2 linked regions of the Lonchura striata genome follow. The protein of the gene in region 2 interacts with the protein of the main gene of each other region in a pairwise test. Links are inferred from orthologs where the notes say so. Each region holds a gene or a part of one and is shown on either strand. Other genes may lie near its edges.

Region 1 (7,714 bases), on a different chromosome or scaffold from region 2:
CTTAGCATAAACTAAGAAGCCATTCACAAAGTATTCCTTTGAGTAAAAAGGCATACACATTTTGATTTGAATACATAAACCATGTTCATACCACCTAAATTAAAACCACAAGAGACACTGTTCATGTCACACAATAAATACTATTCAATTTTACCAAGTTTATTACATAAAAACGCCATTACTACTGAAAAGATTACTTTGCATATATTAATGTTACCCATCTCATTTTTCAGCTTAGTGCCATAAACCTCTCTTTGCTATGGTCTGGGAAGTTTCTTTATCTGCACATATGTGAAGCCCTACCCAAAAAGAATGTCACAGTGACAAAACATCTATTTCTATTCTTAAAAAAAAACACCCTGATTTTTTTTTTTTTACACTACACCTTTAGAGAAAACCTAGAAGAAAATAATAGGCAATCACACTGCAGCCTCATTAAGAAAAACTGTCACTTCAAACTGAAAAATCAAGCAACAAAAGTTTTAAAATAAGCAAAGGCAAGCAACTTCTGTCACATATTCCACACTACATGTCATCTATACAGGGTTTTATTTTCAGCTCTTTGTCTTTTACTGTGCACTTGCAGAAAGAGGTATGTAAGACTGCTATATATTATGGAGACTTAATTATTTCAATGAGTATCTGAAGACTTCTCCAGTGTCAAAGATTTACCAAAATCTCCTCATAAACTCAGGTTTTATGCCTAACTTCCTCCCCAACACAAAAGAGCAAACAGCCAATGTTTTCTTGCTGCAAAATGAATGACTGAAAGCCAAGAGGAAAAGAGAGGAAGGAATCCCACCTACCTCACCAGAGCAATCTGCCAGCATGCACATTAGCACCAACAGATGCTCCAGATGTGCTTCTGGGTCAGAAAAAGACTAGGAGTACCTGCCCTAGAACTGTTTCCCAGTGTGAGACACTTCAACATAAACAATTGCTGTTGATTAACACATCTGTCAGCATGTGCATTAATCATCTATTCACTGTGTGCATCTTCCCCATCTACCCTCCACAACGGTAAAAGTTTAAAAAAATTGTATCTGTTTAACCTCAGGTCTCACAGCAGCGTTGTCCAGCATTGCCCAGAAATGCACACTCTGCTCCTCTGTAGCATTTCTGCAAAAGATCACTAAATATCCTGAGAACCCTATCTCCAAAATCACTAGGGACCTCTCTTGCCCGCTTGGCAGCTGTGTACTAGCGTACATCTGTTTGAGTGGCTCACCCGGCGTTACAGAGGAAACTAACAAGAAAACTAGACCTATGATCCTGATTTTTCAGTTCTCTACTTTTCCAATTAGTCACGGCTTCCTTCCATTCCTTGCAGAGCACCTTCAGAACAGCCTTTGAAGCTGAAGGGTCAAATGTGAAAAGCAACGCTGAAAGCTCAGGTTCAGCACACGGCAGGGAAGTACAACGCCGATCCATTCTGCTGCACAGCTGTCCAGATCCCAGTGACAGGGGGCAGGCGGGTGGACACAAAAGGCAACAAGGCTTTTAAAAGAGCAAGCCCACATGTGAGGTGGAATTTTATTTCTATTTGTCACATGTAAAGCTCCTAGAACAGTGGTTTAGATCTGTTGTCTATGGGGCTGTTGCAGTAAAAGCCTAACACACCACCTTATCGTTTTATTCTACCCATCTCATCTCAGCAATTATCTCAGATTTCAGTATTTACATATCTAAAAAAGTCAATTTACCCAAGCATCACCACCCTCCCCAAACTGCAGAGCATTCCACTAGCTACGGCAGAATCTCAGACAATTCCCAGCTCAAAAAAAAAACCCAAAAAAATAAAACCCAACTTGTTTTCAGCTCGAGCCTCAGAAAAAAAAAATTAAAATATGCACAAGTTTAGCGACAGTTCCAAAGTCTCTGAAAACGGGCTTTCATCATGAAAACACTGACACGGCTTCAACAAGAATAAACAGGAACGCTGTAATTTCCCAGTCTTTCCAACATCTTAAAGAGTATTTCTAATCAGATGTCGTCCCTGCCTCACGTTTATTAGTAAAGACTGAAACCCGGGGTTTACTCCGGAGCTTCAATAACAAGGGCACAATGATCTCACGGCAACTGAAGCGATTTAAGCGAGACACCCGCTGCATGACCAAAATAGCCCGCTCCACAAAAGGAGAGGCACGGTTTCACACTTAGCCTCTTTCATGACAGCCAGCGTCTCCGCGGCGCGCTGCCCTGCCCGCACGCCGCGCCTTAAGGATCCTAGAAACTGTTACCGGAGTTCGCATCCCTCCCCGAGCCCACGGGACCGGGGGCAGCGGGGGCGCGGCGGGACGCGGGTGCAGGTGGCCGCGGCGCCGGGCGCGGCGGAGGGGCTGCCCGGGTCCCGCCCGTGCGAGGCAGCGCGGAGGGGAGCGGAGAGCGCGCACGGACACACGCGCGCCCGCCGCGCACTCCCCGTTACGCAACGCGCGTATTTCCCACTTTAAGGAATAAGCGCTAAGCGCGCCTGCAAAGCCCGCGGAGCTCCGGGGGCGGGGGTGCAGCCCCCCGCCTGACCCCGCGCAACAGCTGCTGTGCTTGGGAGGAGGAGGAGAAGGAGGGGAGAAGCCACGCTGCCCCCCCCCACGCACGGCCAGCCTCCCCCCAAACTTCGCCCCCCTCCCGCCCGTTGCCCTTCCCGGCGGGGCTGCCGAGCCGCGGAACAGGCGCACTCACCTCGCCTCCGCGCAACTTTCGGGGGTCGCCCCTCTCGCTGCAGCCTGGGAGGGAGGTGGGAGAGGCAGTGGGGCGGGGTGGAGTGGGCCCGGGGGTGGGGGGGCTGTTACGGCTGAGGAGGTTTGGGGAAGGGGGAGGTTGCTCTTGTTGTTGCTGCTGCTGTTGTTTCGGAAATTCTTATTAGTATTTCTCTGCGGTCAGAAACCTGCACCCTCCCCCCCCCAAATGAAAAAAAAAAAACCCGACCCAGACGATCATCACATGGCGATTGCTTTGAACCAGCTGTTTCCAGAGCCAAAGTCTTGCGGAGAAAAATAAAGGGGGAAGGGAGGGAAGGAGGGGAGGGCTGGCAGGGGGGCCGGAGGAGGAGAGAAAGCCGCAGCGGAGGGAGGGCGGGTGGAGAGAGGGCGGGCGGCGGAGCGGGGGGGGAGGGGGAGCAGCACCGCGGCGGCTGTGTCGCTGCCGGAGCGGCACCCGGGGCCGGCGGCGGTGGCAGCCCGGCCGGTGGAGGCGGAGGAGAGAAGGCGGCGCTGCTGTGCTGCTGCTGCTGCCGCGGCCGCTGCTGCTGCCCGGCTCCGCCGCCCGCCGCCGCCTCCCGCGCCCCGGCCCGGCGCCGCCCCCGCCCCTCAATCGCTACATTGTTGACATTCGCAGGCTGACGTCACCCTCCCCGCCCCGCCGCGCGCTCCATTCACAACAACGCTACGCCAACGGCGCAGCGCCCGCCGCCGCGCCTACGCCCGCCGCGGCCCCTACGCACGGGGAGCGGCGTACGGCCGCTCCGCGAATAGCGGTGGCGCCGCCGGCGCTCCGCCCGCCCCGCCCCTCCCGCCCCTCCGCAAGCGGTCAGCGCATGCGCGGCACGGGCTCGCTCGCTCCCTCCCGCGGCAGTGCGTGTGTTTGTGTGTGCATGTGTGTGTGTGCATGTATGTATGTGTGTGTCTGTGTGTATGTATGTATGTATGTGTCTTGTGTATGTATGTATGTATGTATACATGTCTGTTTGTGTATATGTGTGTGTGTGTGTGCGCGCGAGAGAGGGGGTGCGTGCGTGCGTGCGTGTGCCGCCAGACCCCGCACCGGGGGTCGCGCCGGCGGCCGCGGGGGGCTCTGGGAGCCGTAGTCCGCCGCGAGGGGCCGCCATGGCGGCGGGGGCGGACTGAGGGGGCCCCGCTACGGCGGCTGTGGCGGTGGGAAGGCACTGGGAAGGGTGCGACGGGCAGGGCAGAGAACACCCACCCCGGTCACCCCTGGCTGCCAGCGGGGTCGCCTCGGTGTTGATGCCTGCGGTATTTTGCGCGCTCCGCCCCCCGGAGAAACCTCATCCTACTTGTAGTGCCGACCGCAAGCGCCCAGCAGTCATGAGTCAGCCGTGCCGAGCATCGCGCGGGGAGGTGAGCGCTCCCGGGACTGAAAACAAAAACAAAACCCCGACCGCGTGTTCCCGACGCGGGAGCGCGGATTGTTCTTCACCTCCTCTCGGCTGTGTGTGTGTGCGTGTGCGTGTGAGTGAGTGTGTGTGTGTGTGAGTGAACCACCCGAATCCGAACCCTTTTCCCACTCCGAGGCTTGGTGCCACGGTTTCTTTTGCCAAGTGGAAAGCTGTGATTCCTGCAAATTATCCTGGTGCCGGCAGCCTGTGCTTTTGAGCGAGACCCCAAATGTCAGTGGCCATGAAATGCAGTTGGGAGAACCGGTAAATGAATAAGCAGCATTAGCATTCTGCAAGCCCGAGTTACTCAGCCGAGCCTGGACAGAAAAACATAAAGATGAAAGACAGCTGATAAAAAGGAAAGTTGGAGAATAAATGATTCACAATAGGGGCCGTGAGTGAGATTATCTTTGGAGACATCTCTAATTAAAGGGCGTTGGATAACTAGAGGGTTACATTTTCCTGGGTCAATGATCTTGAAAAAGAAATTGCCGTTGCAGTAAATGTCAATAAAGAATGATGGTGACCTACTGCTAGCAAAAGCACGTTCAGTAATTAACATGTGCATGTTTGTTATTTTTTCTGCGTTTGTCAGTTTTCATTGTGTATTTTCATCCTCTGTTTCCCCCTTTCACTATAGCCAGATGATATACTGTGTTTTCTGTATCTTTTAGAAAGGAGCCATTCCTGTGAAGTTTTCTCAATGATGTCTTCTGAAATTGCATCAGCTACCTGCATTTTTGAAGTCTGCTAAACTACAGAAAACTATGTTGTCAACCTAGATTCAACTCTTTGTATTTCAGGGGAAGCATATAGTCACTTTTAAAAAATGTGATTCTCCCCATTTTGCATTTTGCACTATTATCCACTTGTGTAAAGTGGAAAGCATTTAGTTACTTACCCCATTTTGCCCCTACTTTTCCTAGCTACATGTAGCTGCAGAATAGCACCCCAACAGAGATTTTGACTCATAAACGTCACTTTCCCTTTCCAAGTAATGTTCATGTGAAGCCTTGCTCACCAGTGCCATTTAGGTTCTGGTTCTGCAGACATATATGGTATTAAGCATGCAAAAAGTCCCACAGGGTGTAAGGAGACTCATCATGTTTATACACTAGTAGGGCTGAGTTTTTGTGTTGCCTTGTTTATCCCTCAGACACAAAAATAATTTTGTATTGACATGGGAGATAAAAATACTATAATGAGAAGGACAGAGAAATAAAAATAAGCCATGCAGCATTTGTAATGCTTTAGTTAGCACGCTACATGCCCATTATGCCACTGCATTCAAAGTGCACATACTCTGTTATTTACAGCACACTACAGGAGATATGGCTTCAGGTAGTCAAAGCCATCCAAACTGGAAACAAAGCACGCCATGTATGCTCTGCCCATAGCACAATAATTGCCATTTATCTTACTAGCTGATGTTTTAAAATGAATGCTACTATTTGGCTAAAAGGAGGAGGAATGTGAGAATGTCCATTTTGGGTTTTATTATTCAATCTATGCTGTGATAAAATGTGCAGTGGCTTCAATGTGAATCGGGTCATGCTTGTGCAGGACAGAGATATCAGCACAGAGTGAAAGAAGGTAGAGCTAAGCAGGGGCTCTGCACAGAAGCTCACCAAGTAGCTCTATGAAGCTTTTGGTACCCAAATGCTATTAATCATTTTGTGATCAACTCATAATTCAAGGCAGAGTTCACAATCCCATAAGTCACTTGGATCATGATTTTATTATGGCTGTTGTATCTCCATATAACAGTAGAAAACTGAGGAAAAGATGACAGTTCTTTCCAAATACAGAAGGAATATTATATTAACCAAAAGGAATATTATACTAACCAAATAAAGCCTACTGTTTAAAAGTTGTATTTTTATATCACATATTTTACATTTTAATGCCTTGGCTTCCCAATTCATTTCCAAACTGTTTATATTCCAGCAATGAATCTGGTCTGATACTGTTTGCATTGCAATCAACTATCTTCATGCCTAGATTTTTTTATATATAACTATTTCTGGACCATTTTTCTTGCAGTGCAACCAAACATATATTCCAGCCAACTATGAGTTATTTGAAGAGGCATCATGGTGGGTGTCTCAAAACAACACCCATTTTGTCAAGCAATAACAACAAAATAAGGTAAGAATGGATGTGAAGAGGTACAGTTTAGAAGTTGATCCAAGAATACTTCAAAGGAGAACTTGCCATGAATGCTGCAGCTCATCCTCCAGAAAAGGCTGCATCCACACATTCAACAACATGTGTTGACTCAGAGCTATGGACAAATTTCCTGGTTGCATGTTACCTTTACTAACATTAATTAGGTGGTTTCTCCACACTGCCATGACTTCATCTCTTTGAGGAGGACTGCCTGCTATGGCACTTGACCTACTTTTCAGTGGTTCCTTTTTGGATAACACAAAACTTTCCAGAGTAGCTGAATTATGAATACATATTTCAATCATATTTCATATGTAAATCTAAAAGATTTTAAAGTGAATCCAATATTGTAAAACATGTCCCAACATCCCTTTCTGAGATCTCATTTGCATATCAATCTTGTAACTTGAATAGTCTTAATAGTGCCACTTGTTGGAGAGCTCTGTGTATTGCAAGGTATTTCAGTCATGTATTTATAAAAACAAATGGCTTTTTCCTAGTGAGAGGCAATTCCTAATTTAAAGTGCTATGGAAAGACAAGTACTGCAGTCTTGGCTTCAACCACGCTGACTCAAAGACTTTGAATGAGCAACACGTTAGTGGATCTTATGCAATTTGATCTTTACAATGGTAATGAAAGCGTGAAAAGGGAAAAATAAGGACAAATCTTGCAAATTTTTAATTCAGGAAGTTGTCATTTCCTTCTGAAGCACATTTTGCCCTTTAGCATTTGGGTTGAAAAATACCAGTTTTCCTGTGTAAGCTCTGGTCCTGTGCTGAGATCTAAGTAATTATTGGTAATTATGCACATATTCTCCTGGGTTATGCAGGTAGACTTAATGACACTGCATCATTTTCTTCACAGTGATTAAGAAATTCACAGTTGATTATTGATTATCCTACAGGCACCGTATGTCTTTTCACAAGCAGGTCCTAACACACCCCAGGTATGTTACATTTCCTGGAGCACTGACAGTACTAACAGCACGCCCTGAGTCAGTGGCGGTGACAGCTACGAAGGAGACATTGTCATGGTGTGCAATATCAAAGATCCACAGTGTAGCGTCTCTGGAGCGTGGCTTGACATCACATCAAAAGCTGCACAAAGGAGCATTTGTCATGCACAGAGCTTCAGATCCCTGGCATGGAATTTTGAGGATCTGGTGAGATATAATATTGGAAATATATTGAAGTATCAACATTGTTGCTGGGACTAAACTTACAGTGACAGGAAGCAAGGTAGGAAAACAGGGCAGGCACTGACCTGTTTTAAATTGATGCAGGTAACATAATGAAAAGGGAATATAGGGACCTCTTTGTATGTCAAGAAACAGAGGGCCAGGAATCGTTCAGGTTTACACATTTTTTCCAAAAAGTATTTTGTGGTGACTGAGTGGATTCACTGGTTTTTATCTTTTTCAAAAAGAAAAA
Region 2 (7,680 bases):
TTCCTCCTTATCCTAAGAGTCAAGGTGTGCTCACAAGAAAACAAAGATTAAACATACCAAAACTCAGAGCAGACTCCTTCCCTGCCATGGAAGACAAGACTTCAGAACTGGTAAGAGCAATTCCCAGGCCTGCTTTAAAGAGACTTATACCTGGGCTCCTGCTTCTTTCCCCACATATCTCCTCTGTGCAGGCTTTTCAGTTCAGACTGCTACTACACTGCCCAAGGAATTGATCCACACAGATAGCACCTGACAGACATGGCTGTATCTCAAACACCCCAAAGTGCACTTCCCTCTCAGCCCAGACTGCGCCCACTCAGCCCTGGCCAGAATTCCTGTGCAGCCTACAGGTACCCCTGACCCTTTCATCTTGCAGGTGTCAAACAACAATTTTGTCTGCCCCTGCCTTACTCCCAGCAGGACTGATGTCAAGTTACAGACCAGAACCAAATGCACACATCAGCAAATATGACTTAGTGCTCTTTCAGCAGCTGTGGCACAGGCTCCCTACAGTGCAACTACACCCTACTGGAGGTGAGCAGGACTAGCAGTCCCCAGAACACCAGCAGAGATATTCTGAAGCCTGCAGCCTGCCAGGAGCCAGGCTATTTATATATACCTAGAGGACAATGCTCCTTCCAACAAGATGTCTGCTACACCCAACCACACTGGCATAGGCACGGTCATTTACTGCCCAAGGAAGGCAGCTGCAGTGAGGCAGGACAGGCAGCATAAAAGCAACTGCTGCACAAAATCAATTCTTCCCTCCTTCCTAGACTGCTCTTTATTCCTTCTGTTCCTATCTGGTAAACAACATGTCTGCTAGGAAAAGGGGAGAGGAAAGGGAATAGCTGGAGACACCAATGTGCATGCCCCTGCAGCACTTGCGTTCCCTGTCCTCTTTCAAGTGGAAGGAGTCAAGGATAGGTATGGTCAGTGCAACCACAGGAATTTGCTCACTCTGTGGCACTAAAGAATTTGCAGCTACCTGGTAAGCACACAGGCTACCTTCATTACAGCAGACCCAAAATGGAACAAACAGGGCACATGCATGCTGCATCAGGCAGGGCACTGGGAAGAGCGCTCCTCAGCAGGCTGGGGAATGGCTGGTGCTGGCAAAGCTAGACACAGCAGAGGCAGCTACTCCTTCCTGCCCCTGCACACTCTAGCACAACACCCTCTCAGGTAGGAGCCTCTCACAACAGTCATCAGAGCTGCAACAGATTGTCCCCAAAAACCTGGTGATCCCACCTCTCCAAGGTGCAGAAACATGTAGGGCAGTCAGTAGAATGGAAAGAACAACCCAAAGAGTTTCCTGGGTCCTGTTTTAACTGGGCTGTTTGGCAACTCACAAGGAGGACATCCAGAGAACTGGCAAAATAGCAGAGACCAAACTTCGCCTTATTCTCCAGACTGCTGATGGATCAGCTTTTGATAGCTTCCTGAAGAAAGATCACACTGAAAAGTGCCAAATACTATGGCTGCAATGAAGAAACTGCAGCCTTGACACATTTCCCCAGTGCTCAAAAGGCCTGAACTCAGCACAAGCACAGCCAATTCTCCCCTCAGCTAGTGGCAGCACATGGGAACTGAAAGCACCACGCATGATCCACCATGGGCCCTTCTCCGCACTCCTGATGCAGAACCCTGCCACAAGCCCCATGTAAACATGGTGATGTCACCTGCTCCAGCGCGGGCAGAGTGAGGGCTGCGCTCCCACACGGGCTCCATGGCTCTGGCAGGCACAGGAGTGTGATTTGTCAGCAGCGAAAGGGGACACAGCACAGAAACACTCTCTTCCAGTGTGAATTTCATACTCTGTTTATTTGCTTGCTGGCAAATTGGCTCACACAGTCTCATCCAACGACTCCCCAAATTACCTGTGTAGCCAAGATAGTGCCTCCTCTGTTTCCTTGGCGAGGTCATCCAACCCTGAGCAATTTTTTCCTCAAGGAATCTGCCCACCCGGCTGGTTTTAACTCTGCTCACACTGCTAAAGCAAAGGGCCAGCTCTGAGAGACTCCCTCCCACCCTTGGCAGTGCCCTCCTCCGATCACACAGTTCACATATCCCGGGCAGCCAGAGACGTGCCCAGCTCGGAACAGCACGACCGAGGCGTGCACAGCACAGACGCACGCAGCCCCTCCGTGCCGGTCGCACACAGCATTCCCGCGGGAGTGGAAACCCACTCCACCGGGGGGACACTGCAGCGCCCAGCACCGGGCAGCCCCTACGGACCAGAACCTCCCACCCGCACGTCTGCAGCTACCGAGGACAAGGTACCGACAGCAGGCAGCGGGGCTGTGCTGCCTGACTCTGCCCTGGGAACCGGGCGAGACGCCCCGATGGCTCCTCACCCTCCCGGCCCTCCCGTTCTCTGGAGAAGAACGACAGACCACGGCGAACACCCGCGGGGCTGGGGGCGGCAGCCCGGCGGGAGAGGGGGACGCGAGGCCCCGCCGGGGGCCTGAGCGCCCGAAGGTGCGGCGGGGTTAAGAGGGGCAGGTTCGGCCTGAGGGCAGCCGGTCTGTAACCCGACCGGGGCATTCGACACCCGCGGGAGGGAGGGGCCGGATGCGCCCGCGATGCCTGCGGGCGGACCCGGGAGGCGGTGGGCAGGGCCGGGGCAGGCCCCGGGCCAGCGCCCCGCGCACCTGTTGCTCGGCCGCCGAGCGGGGCCCGGACACGCCGGGGCGGGGCGGGGCGGGGCGGGGGCCGGGCGGCGCCGGGCCGGCGCGACCCCAAAGCCCCGCTGTGAGTCAGCGGTGGCGGCCCCGTTGGGCAACTGCCGACCCCGCAGCGGCCCCGGCCACCATCCCGGGGCCCGCCGTGCCCGCCCCGCCCCGGCCCGCCCCCGGGGACCGGCCCGCCCCACCCCGGCCGGTGCCAAGGCCGCGCCCGCTCTCGCTGCCGGTGGCGCTCACCTCCTGCCGGGGCCGCCGGGCCAGGCCAGGCCGGGCGGGGCAGGGAGGCCGCGCTGGGAGGGACCGGGACTCACGAGCCGCCGCCGCCGCCGCTCACCGACTCGTCACGTGATATTTGGGTCACGTGGCTCCATTCATGAAGCGCCCGGCGCAACCGCCCCGGGCCTTAAGGGGGCCGCGCTCCCCGGGGGCAGCGGGGGGAACGCGGCCCGACCGGGACTGGCCCGACCGGGACCGGCCCCGGCCCGACCGGGACCGGCCCGGCGCCCGCTCCGCGCCCTGCCGGCGCCTCCCGCCGCCGCAGTCGACTTCCCGTCCCGGGGCGAGCGCTGCCGCTCCGGCAAAGTACTGGGTCGGCCGCGGATCAGCTTCCGCCGTCTCTGACAGCAGCCACCGGCCTCCTGCGCTCTCCCCCGTGGCACGTCGCGCGTTTCATAGCGCGCAGTCCCTCCGCCCGCACCGGCAGGGCCCTCGGCACCGGCGGCTCCGCGCTCCCTTTGAGCTGCGCCCGCGGTCCCTCGGAGCCCGGCTCCGTGTGCGGCGGGCCCCGCCTGCAGCGGTAGGGCCGGGACCACCACTGCTCCGAAACGCCGCTTTCCCAGTCACGCCGGGCTCGCTCCAGGTGTGTTCCCGGCCCTCCTGATACGATTCGGGTCCACGACACTCACACTGGTGCCTACTGTTTGATGCCATGCTACAGGCCAAGAAGGGAGGACAACATGAGCATACCAGAGAAGGGCGAGGGGCCAGTGGAAAGTCCAGCAATGAAAGCGGGCACAAGGGGTTAAGGAGAAACTGTGCCCCGTAGGAGCAGCAGGGGCTCGGCTGGGCCCGGATCCAGCAGCAGCTGCTCTGTGCACAGGGGATGTGACCGCACGCCTTGCAACGCCTCTTGTAGCCCCTGATGGGCTGGGTTTCCATCCGCTCTGGTGCCCACCTCAGTTACAGGTCTATAACGATCTAGGAAGTTCATCTACAGCTGTGTCTCTGGGAGTACCCAGGGGCACCCCCTTAATCTCCTGGCAGAGGGGGTCAAGTTCAGGCATCCATTCATTCTGCATCCCACTTTTTCAGCCAAGTGAGAACTCTTTCCACAACACTTCCTTGCATTTTGCATCAGGCAGTACTTTATCCGTCTGACCTCCAGCCTGGCCTGTCAGCACAGGTATTACAGATCCTGAGCAGGAAACCGAGGAACATATGAGACCCAAGGACTCCTGACCTAGTGGCCACTGCCAGTGGCAAGGGATACCCCCAGTCAAAGCAGTTGGGATTAGCCACAGCTCTCATCAGAGACACAGTTTTTTATGTAAAGAGGGAAGAGGAGTAACCATCTGTCATACCTATAGGGTCATACCTTGCTGGCAGTCAAAAGTCTTAACACTAAAAATACTTTACCGTCACCAGCACCTCAGAGACAGCAGGAAATGTAAAAACTCACTACCCCTCCACCTGCCAAACCACCCAAGGAAGGCCAGCAGTAAAAGAGGGGCAGTGAGAGGTCACAGTTCCCCAAACCAGACTGCGCAGAGAGAATGGGCAGCCGCTGGAGAGAAAAGGAGCACAGTCTGATGTTCATATCTCCCTAAGGGCTGGGAGATCGGACAGAGGCAGTTGGTCTGTTCCAAGAGGTGATTCTGGGCCCAGCCCATGATGCACCATGCAGTATGGACTTTGTGTGGCAGCATCTGCTCCAGCTAGTAACGCCAGCGACAGGACATAAGCTCTGACAGCAGGTGCAAGATGGGGCTAGAGATAATTAAACGTTTGAAACCAAAAGTTCTGAAACATCTTTAAAAATCCTGTTAAAAAAATTTCTGCATGGGACACCACAAACACTGCTTGAGTCCTGGAAGTACCCAAGGCTTCTGGACAAATGATTTCCTTGACAAAGCTCTGATGAGAGCATCACCCCTGCCCAAGAAAACACCATGCCAGGGACAGCTCACCAAGCCCACTACAAGTTAAAGACCCTCTGCTACAGCTGCTGCAAGCCACAAGCCTGGTACAGGGGACACCAACGTGCTGAGTATTTTTCCTTGGACAAAAGAGAAATAACACAGAGAACAATAATGGCTTAGGAATGGTATTCCCTGTACTAGCATTCCCACTGAAATACTCAAACGCTCACTCACTGCCCTCTTGTCCGTCTCCCTCTGTGGTGGGCTGGAGAGGAGAACTGGAGGCACAAAAGGTAAAGATTGTGGTTTGCTACAAGAACAATTTACTGGAAGCAGTAATGAGATAAGAAAACAAATAATAACAGCATCAATATTAAGAAAAGCGTAGAAGAGAGGTGAAGGATTCACACGTGGTTGCTCACCACTACTCGCGTCATGCAACCAGCCAGAAGGGACCCCTTCTTCCCACCCCTCTTCAGCCCCTCTCCCCTGCTTCAAGCCTTCCTCCCCCCCCTTTGCCCACACTTAAGATGCACAGAATAACCAGGGTCCTGGCCACCTATTCCTGGCTACTGCAAAAATTAACCCTGTCCTGGCTGCAACCAGGACATTGACATTCAGCACTGCCAGAATATAGCAGTCTGGTCAGTTCTTCTTGCTCTTGCTGGTGAACAGACTGACTTTGCTAGCAGATGCTACAGACAGAGAAGGAGACTCCAGCTTCACCTTGTCCAGCAATGTTTTCTTTATGGCTGCCGGGGAAATCTTCTCTTGGTCTGCCAAATGCTGCAGCTCCCTGCAATCGGGTAGTGGGAGAGGAAGACAGAAAAAATAAGATGGGGAGAGTGGAGGGGGAAAGTCTTGCAAACTCTTTAGGACTTCCCAGTTGCCCACCTTGTCCGGATACAGGAAGCCTCCACAGCATTGATGAGGAGTGAGCGAAAGCCGCCACTCTCCAGGAAGTGCAGGGCATGGATAGTGGCTCCCCCAGGTGAGCAGACATTGTCCTTCAGCTGACCTGGATGCTGCTCAGATTCTAACAGCATTTTGGCGGCACCCTGTAGCAAGGAAAACACCTGCCAGAGTTCTGAAAGAGGAAGCCACTGTCAGACACTCCTGTTCTCACTGCACAGAGCAGCAACAACACTCACAACAGGCAAACCTAGGCTCCTGCAGGCTGCCAAAACATTTTTCAGAACTGATGAGGCCTGCAAAGGAGCAGAGTTTCCCAGGATCCATCTCCCACAGCACCAGCAGCACCAGCAGAGTGCTGCAGACACTTCCTAGAGCCCCTCACCAGGAACCTGTGTGCATTCAAACCAAATCCATTCTTTAAAGCAGATTCTGTGAGAGGACCAAGATAATTTCAAACTGTGATGTGTAGATTCCTCTGCAAAGAGCAGGCACAGACTCAGATTTGTTATGCAGGAGGTAATACTGACCAGCAAAGCCTGTGCTCCCAGTCGAACTGCCAGCCTGCGGGGAAGGCCCATCTTTACTCCTCCATCTGCAAGAGCATCCAGGGCAGTGAATGCCTGAGACCAGAGAGGAAGAAGGTGACTGAAAGACTGCTCTAGGACTGGTCTTAGGGAAGAGAGAATCCAGGCCTTTAGGACTGTTCTGTGACTCCTATCACTCACAGACTTGACAAAATGCCTCCCTCTTTCATTCATGGCTGCCATGCCAGGCTTCCCTCAAACTATTTCCAGCTCAGGAGTGGAGGGAATGGGAGAAATTCAGCTTCTGCATCATGCAAACTACAGGCCCAAGTTTTGCAACATGGACATGTGGACACTGCACACTGGCTATGGACTTCAGACTCATCTGACTCTTAAAAAAATTTTCCTGCTGCCCCAAACTGAACACCTGGAATACATGTCCCATTGCAAATATGGGTGATGGAGAAAAAAAAAAAATACAAGCTGAAGTTGCACAGATTTTTTAGCAGGCAAGCCAACTGCTCTCCCTAAGACTGGCACTAGCTGATGAAATAGCACATACATACGCAGGGCCACTGCCACTGAGCCCCGTTACAGCATCAATGAGGTCCTCTTCCACCTCGGTGCAGAAGCCCACACTGGCCATCAGTTGTTCCAAAAGCTTCCCATCTTCCACATCCGCATGAGTTCCAGTGGCATAGACTGTAGCACCTTCCCGGACTATCACAGGGGTGTTGGTCATGCACCTGATCACTTTTGGTGTGGGGCAGAAGGTAGAGAGTTTCTTAGGGCAGAAAATCATTGAAGATAGAAAGTAAGAAAAAAAAAAAGAAAGAAGGGAGAAAAATGAGCTTTAGTGCATACTTTTCATCAATGGGCTGTCCAGGAAAGGACCCCCCCCACCAGGGGCAAGAACAACACAAGCAGAAGGAAAAGAGAGACCTGTGTATCTCAAATGTCCTGCTTTGAGTCACAGCAGCCCATCCGTGAACGTGAAGCCTTAGTCAGTACCAGCAAAGCAGGAGCTGGGCAAAATCAGGTTGGAAACAGTATCCCAAAGGCCTCAAACCCACATCAACCCACAGATCTCCAAAACAGCTCCTGCAGACACTTAAGACAAATTCTGCAGAAATTCAGGGGAGATGACCTACTGCTGGTAATAGAAACATAATCGGACAGCACCTCACGTGAGAGAAAAGCTGGATAAAACCTCTAATAGCATTTGCTGATGAAGACAGGCAAAGGTGACCAAAACCAAGTTTTTTGCTGCTGCGTGACTTTAGTCCTGAGTAGCACAAGTACGACAAGTCCGTCCATCGGCTCCGCGGGGTCAGAGGAGTGGAACCAGCTCCCGGCTCGCCCTGCACGGCCCGGTCCCCTCTCACCTTCTCGATGGAGCTGATGGTGACGCCGGCA

The links. The genes of interacting proteins can lie anywhere in the genome.
Region 1: the proteins of MAFG (region 2) and BACH2 interact in binary tests that used the Homo sapiens proteins (3 or more experiments, as listed by UniProt). The link is inferred for Lonchura striata from reciprocal best matches to the Homo sapiens genes MAFG and BACH2.

The regions. Positions count from the first base shown.
Region 1 is NC_134605.1:77,651,971-77,659,684, reverse strand, and holds the start of BACH2 (transcription regulator protein BACH2), read right to left. Parts: upstream 3,033-7,714; 5' UTR 2,683-3,032; intron 1-2,682. UniProt on the Homo sapiens protein: Transcriptional regulator that acts as a repressor or activator. Binds to Maf recognition elements (MARE). Plays an important role in coordinating transcription activation and repression by MAFK.
Region 2 is NC_134621.1:11,960,990-11,968,669, forward strand, and holds the start of MAFG (transcription factor MafG), read right to left. Parts: upstream 3,062-7,680; 5' UTR 2,925-3,061; intron 2,022-2,924; exon of another isoform or gene 1,881-2,021; intron 1-1,880. Other genes in the region: PYCR1 (pyrroline-5-carboxylate reductase 1, mitochondrial), read right to left, coding at 5,471-5,621, 5,720-5,883, 6,268-6,360, 6,827-7,048, 7,650-7,680. UniProt on the Homo sapiens protein: Since they lack a putative transactivation domain, the small Mafs behave as transcriptional repressors when they dimerize among themselves.